Linked DNA regions of Diceros bicornis minor. The protein of the gene in region 2 interacts with the protein of the main gene of each other region in a pairwise test. Links are inferred from orthologs where the notes say so. Each region holds a gene or a part of one and is shown on either strand. Other genes may lie near its edges.

Region 1 (8,259 bases), on a different chromosome or scaffold from region 2:
TGTTCCAAACAAATCTGGTACATTTTGTATCTAGAAAGGGCATCTCACTACCATACCCTCCTTCCATCCTGTGCCAAGAAGGTATGCACACCCCAAGTTATGCACCAGTGAACAGAGAAGGGGGTAATTCACTAAATACGGAAGGGCAGAGTTGGACACGGTGGCTAGTTCTTTGTTAGTTAAGGATTAATCAGGTCTATAAAACTATTTGATCCTTGCACAGCTTTGACTCCAACTTGAGAAATTCAAACAGGTCTGATTAAGCCACCCTTGACACTGAAGTAGGATACAAATTTGGCTCAGAGCTTTCCTGCTGCTAAAGTGTAACACACATCAGTCCATGATTCATACGGTCCATACAGAAAAGCAAAACAAGTTGCTCAGGGGAAACACAACTATTCTTATTACCAAGACTTCAGAAAAATTTCTTTCATAGGACACCCTTAATTACAATAGGAATTTCAGGATGCTTTTTCATATAACTACCCCTCAGTAAAAGCAGTCAAGAAAGAAGCTGAAACAATGGAATGAAAATAAGCAGCATTCCTAAGATTTGGCTTAATCCAAGGACAGGATGTAGAAGGCAGTGGTTCTCTAGTTTAGTAAATGGAGGAATCATCTCACTCTCTTGCTAAAATACGGATTCCTGGGCCCAGATATTCTGATTCTCTAGCTGTGAAGGGCCCAGAATCTGTATTCTAAATAAGCAATTGAGATAATTCTTATGAATCCTAACTAGAGCAGTAATCTTTAACAAGATGCCCATCACAATCACTGGGAACCTCTTTGAAAGTACACGTCTCTGTATTTCCTTAGAAGTAATAAATCATCTTTTCCAGAAGTAGGACAAAAGAATCTAAAATAATGCTGTCCAGGTGATTCTGATACATATTCTAGTAAGTAGTGGGATTTAGAGGAATGAAACATATCCTTCAGGCCAATCCCTCGCTTGCAGGTATTCTAGGTTGCTAAGTAAAAAGTCTAGGCATTTCAGTTTTCTGAGTTGACGACAACCTCCCATGAAAGCTGAGGGACCTAAAAAGAAAGGCATGCCTTTTTTCCTCCCTTCTTAGCAAGAGCAAAGGTATAATCCACAGGAAGGCTCCAATACACCTTAGAAAACAATTCTATCTCCCAGATAAATAAGTAATCCCCAAAGTTTCCAAAGTTCTATGCCACAGAATGTGGCTGAAATAACAGGGGCACATTTAAACCCAAACGCCCACTTTAGCCATAAAAAAAAAAAAATCACAATAAGCAAGCCAAGAATATTTACTTAAAGCACTAGTTTTCTAGCCACTCTGCCAAGATTAACTAGTTGTAAAATGTACTACTATGTACCTAATAAGTTGATCTGCCATATGGTTGTTAGGAGCCAGTTAAAAAAATGGGAAGATGTCTGCCAATCAACAAAGACGATTTTAAGTTTAACGAGTTGATCTTAAGCCTTCTTTTGTCAAGTGATGAGACTATAGGGCCAACTGTGTTTAGAATCTCTCCTAATTGAAAGCAATAAAATGATAACATCAGCATCAAACATGCTTATCTTTCTGTATTCTGTTACGTAAATTTACCATGTATATTTTGAGGGCGAGAGGGAGTGAAGGAAAAAGCTTTGTTTCAGTCTCATTAGAAATCATTATAGGACCAGTTAAGAGTCTATTCCTATCCATCTTGACTATGCTACTGAAGTATACTTTGATTGAAGATTTACCTGTTTTGAACAAAAGAATTTTTAGAAAAAGTCATTTATAGTTTTCTTCTCCATCCCCCTCAAAAGGGAGAACAGACAGCAAGAATTTTCAAGATCCTCAAAGATGAACTTACCGCCCAAGAGGCTTTCTTGTGTTTTAGAACCTCACAATTTTCACTTGCTCCTTTGTGGTATTTAGCAATCACAACATCCTAAAATATGTAAACATTAAAAAAAGCATCATCTTATTAAGGAATTATTGTTAATCTAAACACGTGTGAAAAATGGTATGGCTGTGTTAAAAAAAGTTCTCATTTATTAGAGATACAGACTTATTTACAAGTGAAATGATAAGATGTCTGGGATTTCCTTTGAAATACTGTACTTCAGCACACACACACACACACACACACACACACACACAAAGTGGGGCGGAGACAGAAGAAATAAGATTGGCCTTGACTTGTCACTGTTGAAGCTGGATGATGGGTACACATTTCATATACCATTCTCACTTTTTTCTGTACGCTGAAAAATTTCCATAATAAACAGTAAAATAAAAAGCATTATCTTATTAAGATAGACACAATTCGGTTTTAGAATGATTCTTTTGAATTCGTTGAGAGATCTTAAGATGCAGAATAAAAGATCTGATAGAACAACGATCTCATATAACAAAGTAAAATGTTTTTGCAAGTTTTTGAAGTATAAGGGTAGATATGAAAAAGGATCACAATTGGGAGACAAAAACAGTTAAAAGTAAACATTCCCATAACAGAAATATTTGGAGAATGCTAAAACATCTATTTCAGCAGTGACAACACAAAAGTGCAGTTGTAAACCTAAACTCCAAACCAAATGCAATTCAGCTTACATCTAGCCACCGCCTATGCCAGCCCACGGTAGGTGCGGTGTCTGGGGAGGCAGAGGATTTAATCATTACATTTTACAGTTAAAAAGCAATAGCCAGGAGAAAACGGACGGGACTGCAGCAGCAGAGGCAAACGCCTGAGATCCTGGCTTTGTCACTTAGAGGCTGGGACCTTTCCAAGCATCAATTCGGCAACTGGGGATGACAATGGTACCTACCTGACAGGGTTGTTGGGAGGTTTAATTATGAGCATGCATGTAAAGAACACCAGCTCGTAACTGGTAGGACTGTTGGTGGATTATTAAGGACGGAACGTTTACCAGGAGGCCCGGGCGAGAGGAGGGCGCCGGCGGCGAGGAAAGAAGACTCTGCTCCGTCTCCACCCGCCCGTCGCCGAGCCAGGGGCGCAGGCCCAAGGGATGCTCAGGCTTCTTTTAGGCGCCCGTTTCAGGCTCCAGTTCGCTCCGTGCTCAGGTTGGGGCTTAGCCTGTAGGCGCCAGAACAAGTCTAGGCAGCGGTTCCTCAGGTCCGACCCCAGAGCAGGAACGTGGGGAGCAAGGTAAGACTGTAGCGCCCGCAGCGACCTCCGCCCAAGCCGCGCCGGGGCTCCATCCGGGTTCTCCAGGCGGCTTCCCGCCCGCAGCCCGGGCGAGGTGGCTCCCCGCACGCAGGCGCATTAACAAAAGGCTGGAAGCCCGGCCGGCTCGAGTACGGAGCATGCGCGCTGGCCCTCCCCAATTTTTTTTTTTTTTTTTTTTTTAGATTTTGTACGCGGAGCTGGGAATTACTTGCTTGTTGTGTCTGCCAGAAACGATGAGTCGTAGACTCTCAGGAATGGAAGGCATTGTGAAGTCCACATAGTTCTACACTTTAACATTTAGAGCACTGGTAATAAAGTTTTGTGTCAGGCTTTTTGCTTGGAGATTATAATGCTCCAATAATCACCATTTTCTATGAGGAATCAATGAGGAAAAAGAGAAGGAAGCTCATTCTACTCCCAAATTAAACATTCAGGCAAATGGGACAAGCTGTACATTCCATTCAGATATTAACGGTGGAGGATGAGCTTGCGTCCGCTTCCCCATGCAGGTTGCCCCTGCTTCCCATGAATCAGCATGTGGATGAATTTCCTAAGAATCATCCTCCATCTTAGAGAGATTTTAAATTTTATTTAAAATTCTTTTTAACAACAGGATCTTATAGTAATAAATCCATATTAGAGAGAGTTTACAGAAAAACTCCAAAGTAGAAACTAGAAAACATTATTGAAAGAAACAAACCCAAATATAGCCCTCTTTCCTATTTTGGGGATATTTTCCTCCAGAATTCTTATAAACTTAATGAAATGACATTTTATTCATGTTTGTATAGTCACTCTTGTGAGAAACATCCTACAAGGCTGGGGGAGGGGCAAGTGTCCAAGAACGTTGGTCAGGTGCAACATTTTCAGGTGTTGTGGGTGAACCTGATGAAGACGGAGAGTCTGCTTAAGGTTTCTGTCAATGGAAGAAATGGCAAAAGACCAGCCTTCCTGGTCCACAAACCTGGGCCTTAAATACCAGAGAAAGGAGTAGGCTTTAGAGGCAGAGATACTTGGCTTTATGTCGGGGCCCCAACACAAGTTACCTGGACTCTTAAGCCCATGTGCTTATTGTAAAATACGAATATCGTCCATTACTCACCCCATGAAGCTCTTTTGAGGAGATAACATACGAAAATTACAGCACATAGTTCCAGCACTCAAACGGCAGCTATTATTGAGATAATAAAATCAAAGCTCAAATCTTGAGTAATGTTCTAGATGTTACCTTTTTTTCAAAATGAAACAGAAATTAGACATGATTTCAGATATTACAGAACTCTTCCTAAAATCAGAGTAACTTAGGTTTCACAAAAGAGAGAAAAGAAGCCCAGAACGGTTAGGTGACACGTTTTTCGAGTTAAAGAATCCTGAAATTTTCTAGTTCAAACTCACAGAAGCTAACCTAGGCTCCCTGCCAGTCCTATAAACTACTTTTCTGCCAAATATTTGAAATAATGCTACAGACCACTCACAGTTAATTCTCAATTATGTCTTTATTAACAAAAGATAAATAAAATACAAAATAGACACCAATGTCAGACTTTATGTTGAACCATCCTATGTTATGGTAGGAATCTGAAAACATAAATTTGTGACATTCTTAAAGTAGATAAGAATTAGACCTATTTCCATGGCTGTTTTAATTTCATAGTAGTCTGAATCTAGATACCACGTATATCTATAATACTTCACAATTTGACTCATTTACTCTCCCACGAGCACTATTTCTGAGATGCTAACTTAAGACAGTATCCTAGTGGGTTTTGGTAGCTTAGAAAAGCCAGTGAGCTGTTGAAAGTCAATGTACGATGTACAGGTTTCACTGATCCCACTCTCACTGTCAGTGTTATCTTCACAATGTTCTTAGAAGAGGCCTGAAGATCATGGCAATCTCAGTTACTAATATCCCTATAAGCTATCCTTATAATTCTTCAAAGAAACCTTCCATTTGAGGTCTTTTTGCAAATTTTACAAAGTGACACCTGCTGGCTATAAAGATTAGGTGCAATGGATATTCTACAATCTTATAAAATCCAATATTCCTGATTGTTACATAAAGGCAATCACAATCAAAACAACAAACAGTATCAGAAACTATATCCTCTGTGATAAAGGAAAGGATTTCTGTATCTAAAGACTCATGCCCAGAATGGTAAAACACTGAGTACTGATCAATCAACACTGACTCAAGGAAGACAAAAGTTATTTTTCCATTCCAAGGCTAACAGATTTAGTTCTGGGTGTAAGGTATGGGGAAATATTTAAAAAATCAAAATTTTATAACCAAGTAGAAAACAGAATTATTACTACACAGATTGACATTGGGGATAAAGTTATTCACACGTTCTACAGATTTCCTTTCAGTAACCCAAACCCCAAGATAGAATAATTTTTTTTGCTTCAGACCAGGAAACCCTTAGAAGGCAAAAACAAATGACTATCAAATAACTACAATTATAGTTACTAGCAATTAAAAAAAAAATGAAGCCCTGGTTTTAAGAAAGAGTAATTAATCTGTCTTCAAGATGTGTGCTAACACTAGATAAAGCGCCATAAAAATTGAGGAAGTAAAGTTTGAGACATAAATGTTGAGTGGAAGATATTCTTGATAGGTAGAGAGACAAGGTCTCTTTCCACACAACTAATATAAAATTGGAAATGAAATCTTAATCTGCATTAATATAACTGTTTTTCTTCTTTGTTTCTTTTGTGTGGAAAGGAATGAATTTACTATGAGACTTCTGGAAGCTTTATTGTACAGTCAGGCAGCAAGAAGAGTAGACAGAGATTTTCCCATCCATAATCACTGGCAAGAAGCTAAAAGAATCTATCAGCAGCGTCTATCTTGGGTGACTGTCTATGACTAGTTACTACTGTCCAAGGAAGGAGGCCATGGGGTCATCTGGCCTCTGACGTTTCATTCTATAGGCCTCCATTTCCTCTTCCGTGGGTTCCCGAGTTTCATATATGCTATTGTAGGGCCGCTTCCTCTCATCAATCTGCATGATCTCCTTGACATGAAGAAGGCGGGCCTCCTCTGCATTCAGTGCCTACAGTGAGAGGAAAAACATGAGTACCATGGCTCTACATCAGATCTCTTTTGTTCAAAAGTGGCAGAGTACCAAAAGACCTCACTGAATACAAATTGCCGCATCAAAAACCTAGATTGCCTGAGACAGTTGGGAGTTAGCCCTTCCACTGTCAAGCTACAACTACTCACTATTTGGCTCATATATTTTCATAGAGTACAAAACATTCTATGACATTTCCAATGTGAAAGAAATTTTATTTAATAACAAAAATTGAATGAGGTCCATTTTACTGACAGAAGCCAGCAACTGATAATTCTGGTGGAGACTGCAATTCTGATTTTTCCCCAAGGACTTGTTGAAACTTACAAATTATAGAGTTAAAAGGCAATTCTTCCTGGGCAACATGTCAATAACTCTAAAATAACAGCTTTCACAAGCACAATTCTTCTGTGCATTAGTGATATTTAACAAATAATCCACGAAGCAGGCAATACCAAGACACACAAAATCTCCATTTGCATTCTAGACCAGATGGATACAATGTGACCTGAGCAAATCACCCAGACTCAAGCTCGTTTCCTCATTTTTAAAATGAGCTTGGAGACAGAACCAGATAATTTCCTAAGGTCCCTACAAATAAAGAATAGTGTTGTCACTTTAATATTTATTTAGACTTCACAAAGTACCTTTTTTAACTTTTCATGTTTGTTTTCTTCATCATCACTATCTGAACTGCTCTTTCGATGCTTCTTCTTCTTCTTTTTCTTCTTTTTCTCCTCTTTTAGTTTTTCCTGGTGAATCTGACAGGGAGGATTCAAATATAGTGTTATTAATGTAAAAACAAAGCGCTAGTGCAAGTTTTAAAGTCCTCCCTCCAGGACTTAAAAATTTAGGACAAATGATTATAGACTTACCTCCATGAGGGTCTGAGGTTTTTTCACAGATTCTTCTCCAGTGATATCATTTATAATACATTCCTCTGAATTCTGTGGGAAAATAAATGTAATTTGACTTGAGTATCATAGTTACCAATCATCTAAGAAAAAATTAAAACTTGAAACATGAGAAGATATGTTTCATCCAGACTTTGACTTAAGAGCTTTGGCTGTTTTACATCAGTAAGAACTAGAGGACAATTACTTACAGCAATCTCCTTCCCAGCTTCTCCAGTACAATAGGAATACTTGAAAAAAGAGTGACAGCATTTGTATCCCCATCGGCCTTCTTTCCAGTAAGATCCCCAGATATGCTGCAGAGAGAGACAGAGGTTACTTAAAAAGGAACCTGAAACTAGGGACTCTCATATACTGTTAAGAGTATAAAATAATACAGCCCTTTTAAAGGTGATTTGGGAGGAAAATTATGAGGATTCTAGGGCTACCTAACAGGGAGAGGGTGGCCTGACCTCAAGTGTGAGAAGCAGGCATTACAGTTATAATGGTCTAAAAGAAATATTTAGGATATCTGATTTCTCCTGAAAGATTTAGAAGGACTCAGAAATTCTGGGTCCACATTCCCACTTGTCAATAATTGGCTGTTGCTGACGAGTGGATGCCCCTATTAGACAGGGTTTGTCTTCACTAGTCGACACAATTTGCCCGGCTCACTTCATTCATATACGATTAGTGGCCTAGCTCCTACAGGTAGTTAGGTTTTTGATCCCTGACTTGGAGAGACAATTGTCTGGGGGCATCAGAGTACAGCAGGTGACATTATATGCTTTTTGAGGTGATGCAATATGAAGTATAATGCATCACCTGTGAAGTGTTCTTGTCAAAATATTTAACTTATATTCAATCAAGCCTTTAGATCTGAATTCCTGTTTATAGGAAATACAAGGGACAGAGGAATAAGTTATACGATATCACTAGGAACCAGTCAAATACAGAATATGAGACAGTTTACAAGATAACTGGCCTGATCTGTTAAACAGTCACTGTCATGAAAAAGGAGAGACACACTCTAGAAAAAAAGAGATATAACAACCAATAACAATCAAAATAAACTTCAACTGGATTCTGACCAAAAACAAAAACAAAAAATAACCAAAACCAAACAGCTAGTTAAAGACATTTTTGCG
Region 2 (8,098 bases):
GTCAGGCGACGCTGACGCTGGGCCCTGCGCAGGGCAGGTGAGGAGGCATGATGAGCCAGGTAGGCTCCACAACAGGATTTACTGAGAAGCTACCCTAGGCACCCACAGTAAAAACGTCTACTAATCTCTGAAATTTCCATCTCTTTCACACCTGTGTTCTGTCAGCTTCTGCAGAGTTTTACCACAGTAACACCACTAAATCTCAACGGCGACCTGCACAAAGGCTTGTTCCACAATTTTACAGGCCAGCTGTGGCTCTGCTCCACCTGGGGACCTGGGGTAGGGAGGTGGACATGCAGTTCCGGAGCAGAGGGCAAAGGGGCAGTGGCTCGGCTGTGCCCGGCCCTCAGGCTCCTGCCGGCAGATATCACCACCCCCACACTGCATCACGGCCACGCCCGACCTCCACAGGGCTCGGAGACATTCGCTCCTCGGGAAGGACACCAACGACAGGCCTGGAGCAGGTGGACTGGGCATTTCGAATAAAATAAAATAAGATAATCTACCACATACCCGACTTCTTTTGAGGATTAAAAATTTATTTTCAAGTAGTCACAGGGAACTACCGGCTGTTTTAGCTTATTTTGGTAAAAACAGAGCTCCACGTGACGTCTACCCTGCTATACAAGTTGCACATGCTCCTAAATATTCTTTTTGGTGCTGCCTGAGCCAACCGTACATCTAATTGTACCAACGAGAACATGGGTAAAGCTAAACAAGGCTCTTCATTACCACCGAGGAAAAGTGAGGGCAGCTTTCTGGATAAACTGTCAGTAAACACCACAAGGCAGATGTCCTGTTAGCGGAGAGCTGGGGGGGGGGGAAGTCCTGTTCTGTAGAGGCGCACACATGATTTCAGCAGAAACAACGGAGAACAGGGAGAAGGGGCCAGAATCTCTGAGCCAGGCTTTATGGAGGATGAGCCTGGATCTAGGGAGGTTTAGGAAATACTCAAGTTCATTCCAGTTCAAGTGTCAGAGGCAGAATTTAAATTTTCACACTTTCTCCAGCTCCAAAGCACTTACTTTGTCTTGTGCCCAGTACTGGCTCCCCAAAGGAAAGGGACAAAGAGAGGGAAAGAGAAAATAAGGAGAAGAGAGGTTAAAAAAAGGAAAGTTGAGAGGGAGAAACAGCAGAGGGCAGAGGAGGCAAGAGAGAAAGGAGACAGGAGAGGAAAAAGCAGAGGGAGAGAAGACCAACAAAGGAAAAATAATATTGAAGGAGAACAAAGTTGGAGGATTGACACTACCCAACTGTAAGACTTACTATGAAGCTACAGTAACTGAGACAGTGTGGTACTGGTGAAAAAATAGACAAAGAGACCAATGGAACAGAATAGAGAGCCAGGAAAGACACCCCCATAAATACAGTCAACTGATCTTTGACAAAGAAGAAAAGGCAATACAATGGAGCAAAGATAGTCTTTTCAACAAATGGTGCTGGAACAACTGGACATTCACATGCACAAAAATGAATCTACACAGAGACTTTGCACCCTTCACAAAAAATAACTCAAATGGGTCACAGACCTAAATGTAAAACAGAAAACTATAAAACTCTCGGAAGACAACATAGGAGAAAATCTAGATGACCTTGGTGTGATGACAATGTTTCAGATACAACAACAAAGGCACGATCCATGAAAGAAATAACTGATAAGCTGGAATTCATTAAAATAAAAAACTCCTGCTCTGTGAAAGACAGTATCAAGAGAATTAGAAGACAAGCCACAAACAGGAAGAAAATATTTGCAAAAGACGCTGTTATCCAAAATATACAAAGAACTCTTAAAATTCGACACTAAGAAAACAATCAGATTTAAAAATGGTCCAAACAACAGGCACATGAAAAGATGCTCAACATCACTAATCATCAGGGAAGTGCAAATCAGAACCACAATGAGATGTCACCTCACACCTGTAATGATAGCTATTGTCAAAAAGACAAGAGATAACAAATGCAGGTGAGGATGTGGAGAAAAGGGAACCCTTGAGCACTGTTGGTGGGAATGTAAACTGGTGCAACCACTATGGAAAAAAGTATGGAGTTTCCTCAAAAATTTAAAAATAAAATAGAATTATCATATGATCCAGTAATCCCACTTCTGGGTATATATCTGAAGGACATGAAATCACTATCTCAAAGAGCTATCTGCACCCCCGTGTTCACTGCAGCATTATTTACAATAGCCAAGACGTGGAAACAACCTAAGTTCCATTGACAGATGAATGGATGAAGAACACACAAAATGGAACATTATTCAGCCATAAAAAAGAAGGAAATTCTGCCCTTTGCGACAACATGGATGACCTTGAGGGTATTATGCTAAGTGAAATAAGTCAGACAAAGACAAATACTGTATGATCTCACTTATATGTGGAATCTAAAAAAATACAAAACCAAACTCATAGAAACAGAGAACAGATTGGTAATTACCAGAGGTGGAGGGTAGGGGTGGGGGAAACGGGTGAAGGGGGTCAAAAGGTACAAACTTCCAGTTATAAGTTCTGGGGATGTGATGTACAACATGGTGACTGTAGTTAACGATACTGTATTGTATATTTGAAATTTGCTAAGACAGATCTTAAAAGTTGTCATCACAAGGAAAAAAACTGTAACTACATGAGGTGATGGATGTTAACTTATAGCGATAATTATTTTGCAATATATACATATATCAAATCATTATGTTGTAGACAAACTCACACAATGTTATATGTCAATTATAATCTCAATAAAACTGGAAAAAAAAGGTGCGCAACATCATATGCCATTAGGAGATTACAAATTGAACCAACAGGCCTATTAGAAGGGCCAAAATCCAAAACACAGACAACACCAAATGCTGATGAGGATGTGGAGCAATGGGAAACTCTCATTCATCGCTGGTGGGAATGCAAACGGTACAGCCACTTTGGAAGACAATTTGGCAATATCTTAAGAAACTAAACATACTCTTACCATACGATCCAGCAATCATGGTCCTTGGTATGTACCCAAAGGAGTGGAAAACTTATGTCCACTCAAAAGCCTGCACAAGGATGTTTATAGGAGCTTTATTCATAATTGCCAAAACTTGGAAGCAACCACAATGTCCTTTAGTAGGTGAATGGATAAACTACGAAATCCACAAAATGGAATATTACTCAGCACTAAAAAGAAATGAGCTATCAAGCTGTGAAAAGACATGGAGGAAGCTTAAACGCTTATTACTAAGTGAAAGGAGCGAATCTGAAAATGCTATATACTGGATGACTCCGACTATATGATTCTGGAAAAGGCAAAACTATGGAGACAGTAAAAAGATCAGTGGTTGCTAGAGGTCACCGAGGAGGGAGGGATGAACACATGGAGCAGGAAGGATTTTTAGGGCAGTGAAACTACTCTGTACACTATGATGGTAGATACGTGTCATTACACATTTGTCCAAACTCATAGACTGTACAGCACCAAGAGTGAGCCCCAGTGCCAGCTATGGTCTTTAGACGACAGCGAGGTGTCAGTGTAGGGTCACTGATTGTAACAAACATACCACCTGGTGGGGGATGTTGACAGTGGGAGATGCTGTGCGTGTGTATGGGATAGGGTGGGGGTACACGGGAACTCGCTGTACCTTTTCCCCAATTTTGCTGTAAACTTTGCTCTCAAAAAATAAATTCTACTACATAAAAAATTAAAAACAATAAAAATAAACAAGCTGAGCAAAGCAAAAAAAAACAAAAACAAAATCAGTAAACGACCTTCACTGGTGACTTGCAAAGTTCACTTCAAGTCACCTTTGCAGCGGCCCGGCCTTCTGGAAGGCTGAGGAAATCCGGAAGGCGGGGACCCCCCTCAGGTGGGAGGTTAGGCCTTGCTGGCCTCCGGGCAGCTGCGCGCGAGGACCGGCAGGCCCCGGAGGGTCGGGGCGCCCCCCACCGCCGAGACTCTCTGGGGGTGCTAAGCCAGGCTGAGACTCTCCGTGAGGGCGCTGGGCCGGGCCGGGTCGGTCCGGGAGGACAAAGAGCGTCCCCGGGAGGAGCCGCTCTCCAGCGCCTGCGGCCCGGGACGGTGTCCCCAGGGCAGGGCGCCAACCTTCTGCGCGCCCCGGGGCGACCGGGGCCTCGGGTCGGCGGTCAGGGGCTGACCACGCGGCTTACCGGCCGCCGCGAGCTCCCCCGAGCGCCTGGTGGAGACGGGCCTTGTCCCTCGGGCTCTGCTGCCCCCCAGCGGGCCGCCGCACCGCGTCACTGCTCACTGGGGACGCGAGGACGTGGGGACCCGTGTGCCGGAGCGAGCTGTCTCCTCCGCCCCTAACTGGCCACCTTTAAACCTAAACACAAGCTGGCACGCGCGCTGAAAACCAAAGAAGAACGCGCGCGGGCACGGGAGCGTGTCCGGCGCCAGGTTGGGGCCACCCCGTCGCCGCAGCCCCGCGTCCTCGCGCCCCGCGCTCGGGGAGTACCTGTCCCGGCGGAGCGCGTCCCGGGCGGCCCCCACCCCTCCCCGCCTCTCCTTCCTCCCCTTCCTCCTCTTCCTCGCCCTCTGCCCCCTCCGCCTGCCCCGCCTCCCCGCTCGCGCCCTTCCAGGCGGCCGTGTCTGCCGCCTTCCCCCGGGCGGCCCCCTGCCCCCGCTCCTCCTCCCCTCCCTCGCTCCACTCTTCCTCCTCCTCTTCCTCCTTCTGCCCCGCTCCTCCCCTTCCTCCTCCTCTTCCTCCTTCTGCCCCGCTCCTCCCCTTCCTCCTCCCTCTCCCTCTTCCTCCTCCGCGGCCCCGCCTCCCCCCTCGGGCCCTTCCAGGCGGCTGTGTGCCTGGCCACCCTCGGGTCTCGGAGCTGTGCGCCCCGGCCAGGCCCCGCCGCGGGCCCTCGGGAGGGGGAAGCGGAGGGCACCCCGGGTGGGGGCCCTGTGGACGCCCCCGCATCTCCACGGCCCGCCGTCCCCGAGCTCCGGCCCGCGGGCAGGAACGCGCGCCGTGCGTCCTCGGGGAGGTGGGCGGCAGGCTTGGGGACCCGGCTCGGAGGGCGGGCAGAAGGGCCCGCGCGGGCCGCGCGCGTCCCGCTGCGTGCGGAGGCGGCCGTCAAACCGCTAACGCGCGGGGCGGGTTCGCGCGCGCTGTCGTCACCGCCGAGCGCACCGGTTAGAGGGCGGAGAGAAGACCGACACCAAGCGAGAAATACCCTGCGGGCTGCGGCGGCGTGGACGCGCCTCTCCGGGCTGGGCTCTGGTCCTCCTGGTTTGGTCCGCGGCACCGCCGGAGCGCGCAGGGCGTCCGCGGGGTGCTGCCCAGCGGGCTGCCCGGCCCGGAGACGACCCTCGGCGCGAATTCAGAGCCAGATCGCCCTTCCCAGAAGACTCGGGGTCAGCCGCGCAAAAGGAATTAGACAAAGGCTTCCCCCACCTCTCTGAACTTATAAAACGCCCTTAAAAGGAATTTGGAGCCACTTGAGGGACAGCGCGTTTTCTGGCCAGAGCGTCACCAGGGTTCTTTTGCCCAACAGGTTTGAGGAGGCAGAGAGCTGGGCGCGGGCGACATGGCCCTCGTGCCCTACGAGGAGACCGCGGCGGTGGGGCTGCAGAAGTTCCACAGGCCCCTGGCCACCTTCTCTTTTGCAAACCACACGATCCAGATCCGGCAGGACTGGAGGCACCTGGGAGTGGCGGCGGTGGTGTGGGACGCGGTAAGCAAGCCCGGGGGCCTCTGACAGCGTCTGCAGCTGGTTCTAAGACTAGCCTGTACTTTTTAAAATAAACAGCTGTCTTGAGATACAATTCATATACCATACATTTCACCTATTTAATGTGTACAATTTAGTGATTTTTTAAAGAATAATCAGAGTGGTGCAACCAGCACTATGCTCAATTTTAAACATTTTCATCACCTACCCCATCCAAAATAACTTCTACCCATTAGAATCATTTCCCTTTCCCCCTCCCCCATTGCTTTTTAAGGGTGAGTAACGGAAAGCAGAGGGGAGTTGAATGACTTGGGTCAGGGGTGGGTGAGGAGCAGCAGCCCCTAACAGCTTTGGACACTCATTTAGTTAATTTATTTTTTTTGGTGAGGAAGATCAGCCCTGAGCTAACCTCTGTTGCCAGTCCTTCTCATTTTGCTGAGGAAGACTGGCCCTGGGCTAACATCCGTGCCCATCTTCCTCTACTTTATATGGGACGCCGCCACATCATGGCTTGACAAGCGGTGCGTGTCTGGGCGCCGGGATAGGAACCTGCGAACCCCCGGTTGCGGAAGCCCAGCGCCGCACTTAACCGCTACGCCACCCAGTGGCCCCTAAGTTAATTCTTAAGTCAAAATTTTAAAATAGTGCACAAAGAATCTTTTAAAGTGACAAAACATGAAATGAAGATGGTGTATTTTCTTTGTTTCCCATAGTTGTGATGGTCACGGAATTATCCTTTTTATTCTTCTCCCAGCACAGTGACTTGCCCTCCACAGCTAGCACCACACCTGGGACTCAGTGGGAGCTCAGTTAGTGTTGGATAAATGACTGGCATGGATACAGTTTTACAGCCTGAACATTGTGTTAGGGATGTCAGAGAAATGTTTAGGAATAAAAATCTCCATATGTTCTAACCCAGTAATACCACTTCTAGGACTTTAGTCCAAGGTGACTACGTGACAAGTATTCCCGAAATGAATGATAAAGATAGCTGCTAGTGAGTAATGCTCACCAAGAAGAGGAATTGTAATTATACTTACAGCCTATGGCCATGAAAAGCACATTATAGTCAACAATTATGTTAACAGTACACAATGCCTTATAGAATTGTATTCGAGTGCTGGCTCAAACATCAAGTATCCAAAACTTTGGCCAAAACTCACCTTTTGACGCCCAGTAATGTCTGGTGAGGGCCCTGTGGGGTGGTCAGGGCTGCAGCTCCGGGGCCTGGGCGCTGCTCTGCATTTTCCCTCTGGGAGGTTGTGACCTGGCTGACCTGAGCTTGGGTGGGGACTCGACATTCCCTTAAACAAACTCTCAGAGACTGTTCAGTCAGCTCTGCAGAGTAGTTTTGTGAACCCCAAGTGTGAAAACGCTGTGACACAGTATCGGGACCCATCTCGTGTGGGCAGTGTCACTGACTGCTGCCGCCCCGTTAGGGACTTAGGGGGCCTCGGGGACCTGCGGTGGGGGCCAGGTGTCTGCGTGCTAGTGGAGTCCCTTGCGTGCTGTTGAGCTGGGAGCTGAGCCTTGCGGGGGGGTTTGTGTGTCCTCCCCGCAGAGCGTAGCCTGCTTGAAGCCCCCCAGCCCCTCCAGCATGTGCTGACCCTCATCACACTGCTGTGTTTTGACCCAGGCTGTTGTTCTTTCCACGTATCTGGAGATGGGAGCCGTGGAGCTCAGGGGCCGTGCTGTCGTGGAGCTGGGTGCTGGCGCGGGGCTGGTGGGCATAGTGGCTGCCCTGCTGGGTGAGTGTGACCTGCCGGCTCACTCCTGTGTGAGTGGACTCGTCGAGAGGGGCCTTGGCTGTTTCCATGGTGCAAATCCTTTGCCAGTTTCTCCCGTTCTGGATTACTTTCCTTTCTCCTGTACTTATGAGTTATGGGCTGACTGCTGGTGCTCTCAGCTCTGGGAGGGCTAATCTCTCTCTCTGTCACCCTGTAGTTCATACTTTTCGTGGGGCATTGCTTTGCCTCCTTCAATTCTCCGGTGCTGATAATAGGATCTGAAGGCAACCTTGAGTTCAAGGAGAGTTATCTTGTTCATGGACATAGTTGTTATGTCCAGGGCTCTCCCGTGCCCTCTGGCGCTTAACTGACAGGTGGGCAGAGCAGAGTCTCTTTGCTTCACTGCTGAGGAAACGGCTGGTATTTCTCTTCTGGGAAGGGTCGGCCCGGCTTCAGGTTGTACTGACATATTAAACAGTTTACAGTTTGAATTGATATCAAGGTTTGTCATTTTTTTGTTTGATATGCAGACACTGATTTAGGCCTAGAGCATTTTTAAGCTTCGTTTTTACTTTATTATTCATTCTTGACTCCTTTCTACAACTTCTGGCTTATACAGTTCAAGCCACCTGATGATAGGATAGACCAGCTGCTAAGATAGAATGTCCATAATGTTCATCACTTCAGTACTGTCACCTGGGGCTCTTCTGCTTCCGT

Evidence for each region.
Region 1: the proteins of METTL21A (region 2) and FAM200C interact in binary tests that used the Homo sapiens proteins (3 or more experiments, as listed by UniProt). The two-hybrid records come from large-scale screens. The link is inferred for Diceros bicornis minor from reciprocal best matches to the Homo sapiens genes METTL21A and FAM200C.

What each region holds. Positions count from the first base shown.
Region 1 is NC_080740.1:75,839,518-75,847,776, forward strand, and holds the start of FAM200C (protein FAM200C), read right to left. Parts: upstream 3,167-8,259; 5' UTR 2,818-3,166; coding exon 2,783-2,817; intron 1,906-2,782; exon of another isoform or gene 1,828-1,905; intron 1-1,827. Other genes in the region: pre-mRNA-splicing factor SLU7, read right to left, coding at 6,018-6,197, 6,866-6,979, 7,094-7,165, 7,324-7,428.
Region 2 is NC_080749.1:84,488,064-84,496,161, reverse strand, and holds the start of METTL21A (protein N-lysine methyltransferase METTL21A), read left to right. Parts: upstream 1-4,887; 5' UTR 4,888-4,951; intron 4,952-5,254; exon of another isoform or gene 5,255-5,477; 5' UTR 5,478-5,510; coding exon 5,511-5,657; intron 5,658-7,290; coding exon 7,291-7,402; intron 7,403-8,098. UniProt on the Homo sapiens protein: Protein-lysine methyltransferase that selectively trimethylates residues in heat shock protein 70 (HSP70) family members. Contributes to the in vivo trimethylation of Lys residues in HSPA1 and HSPA8.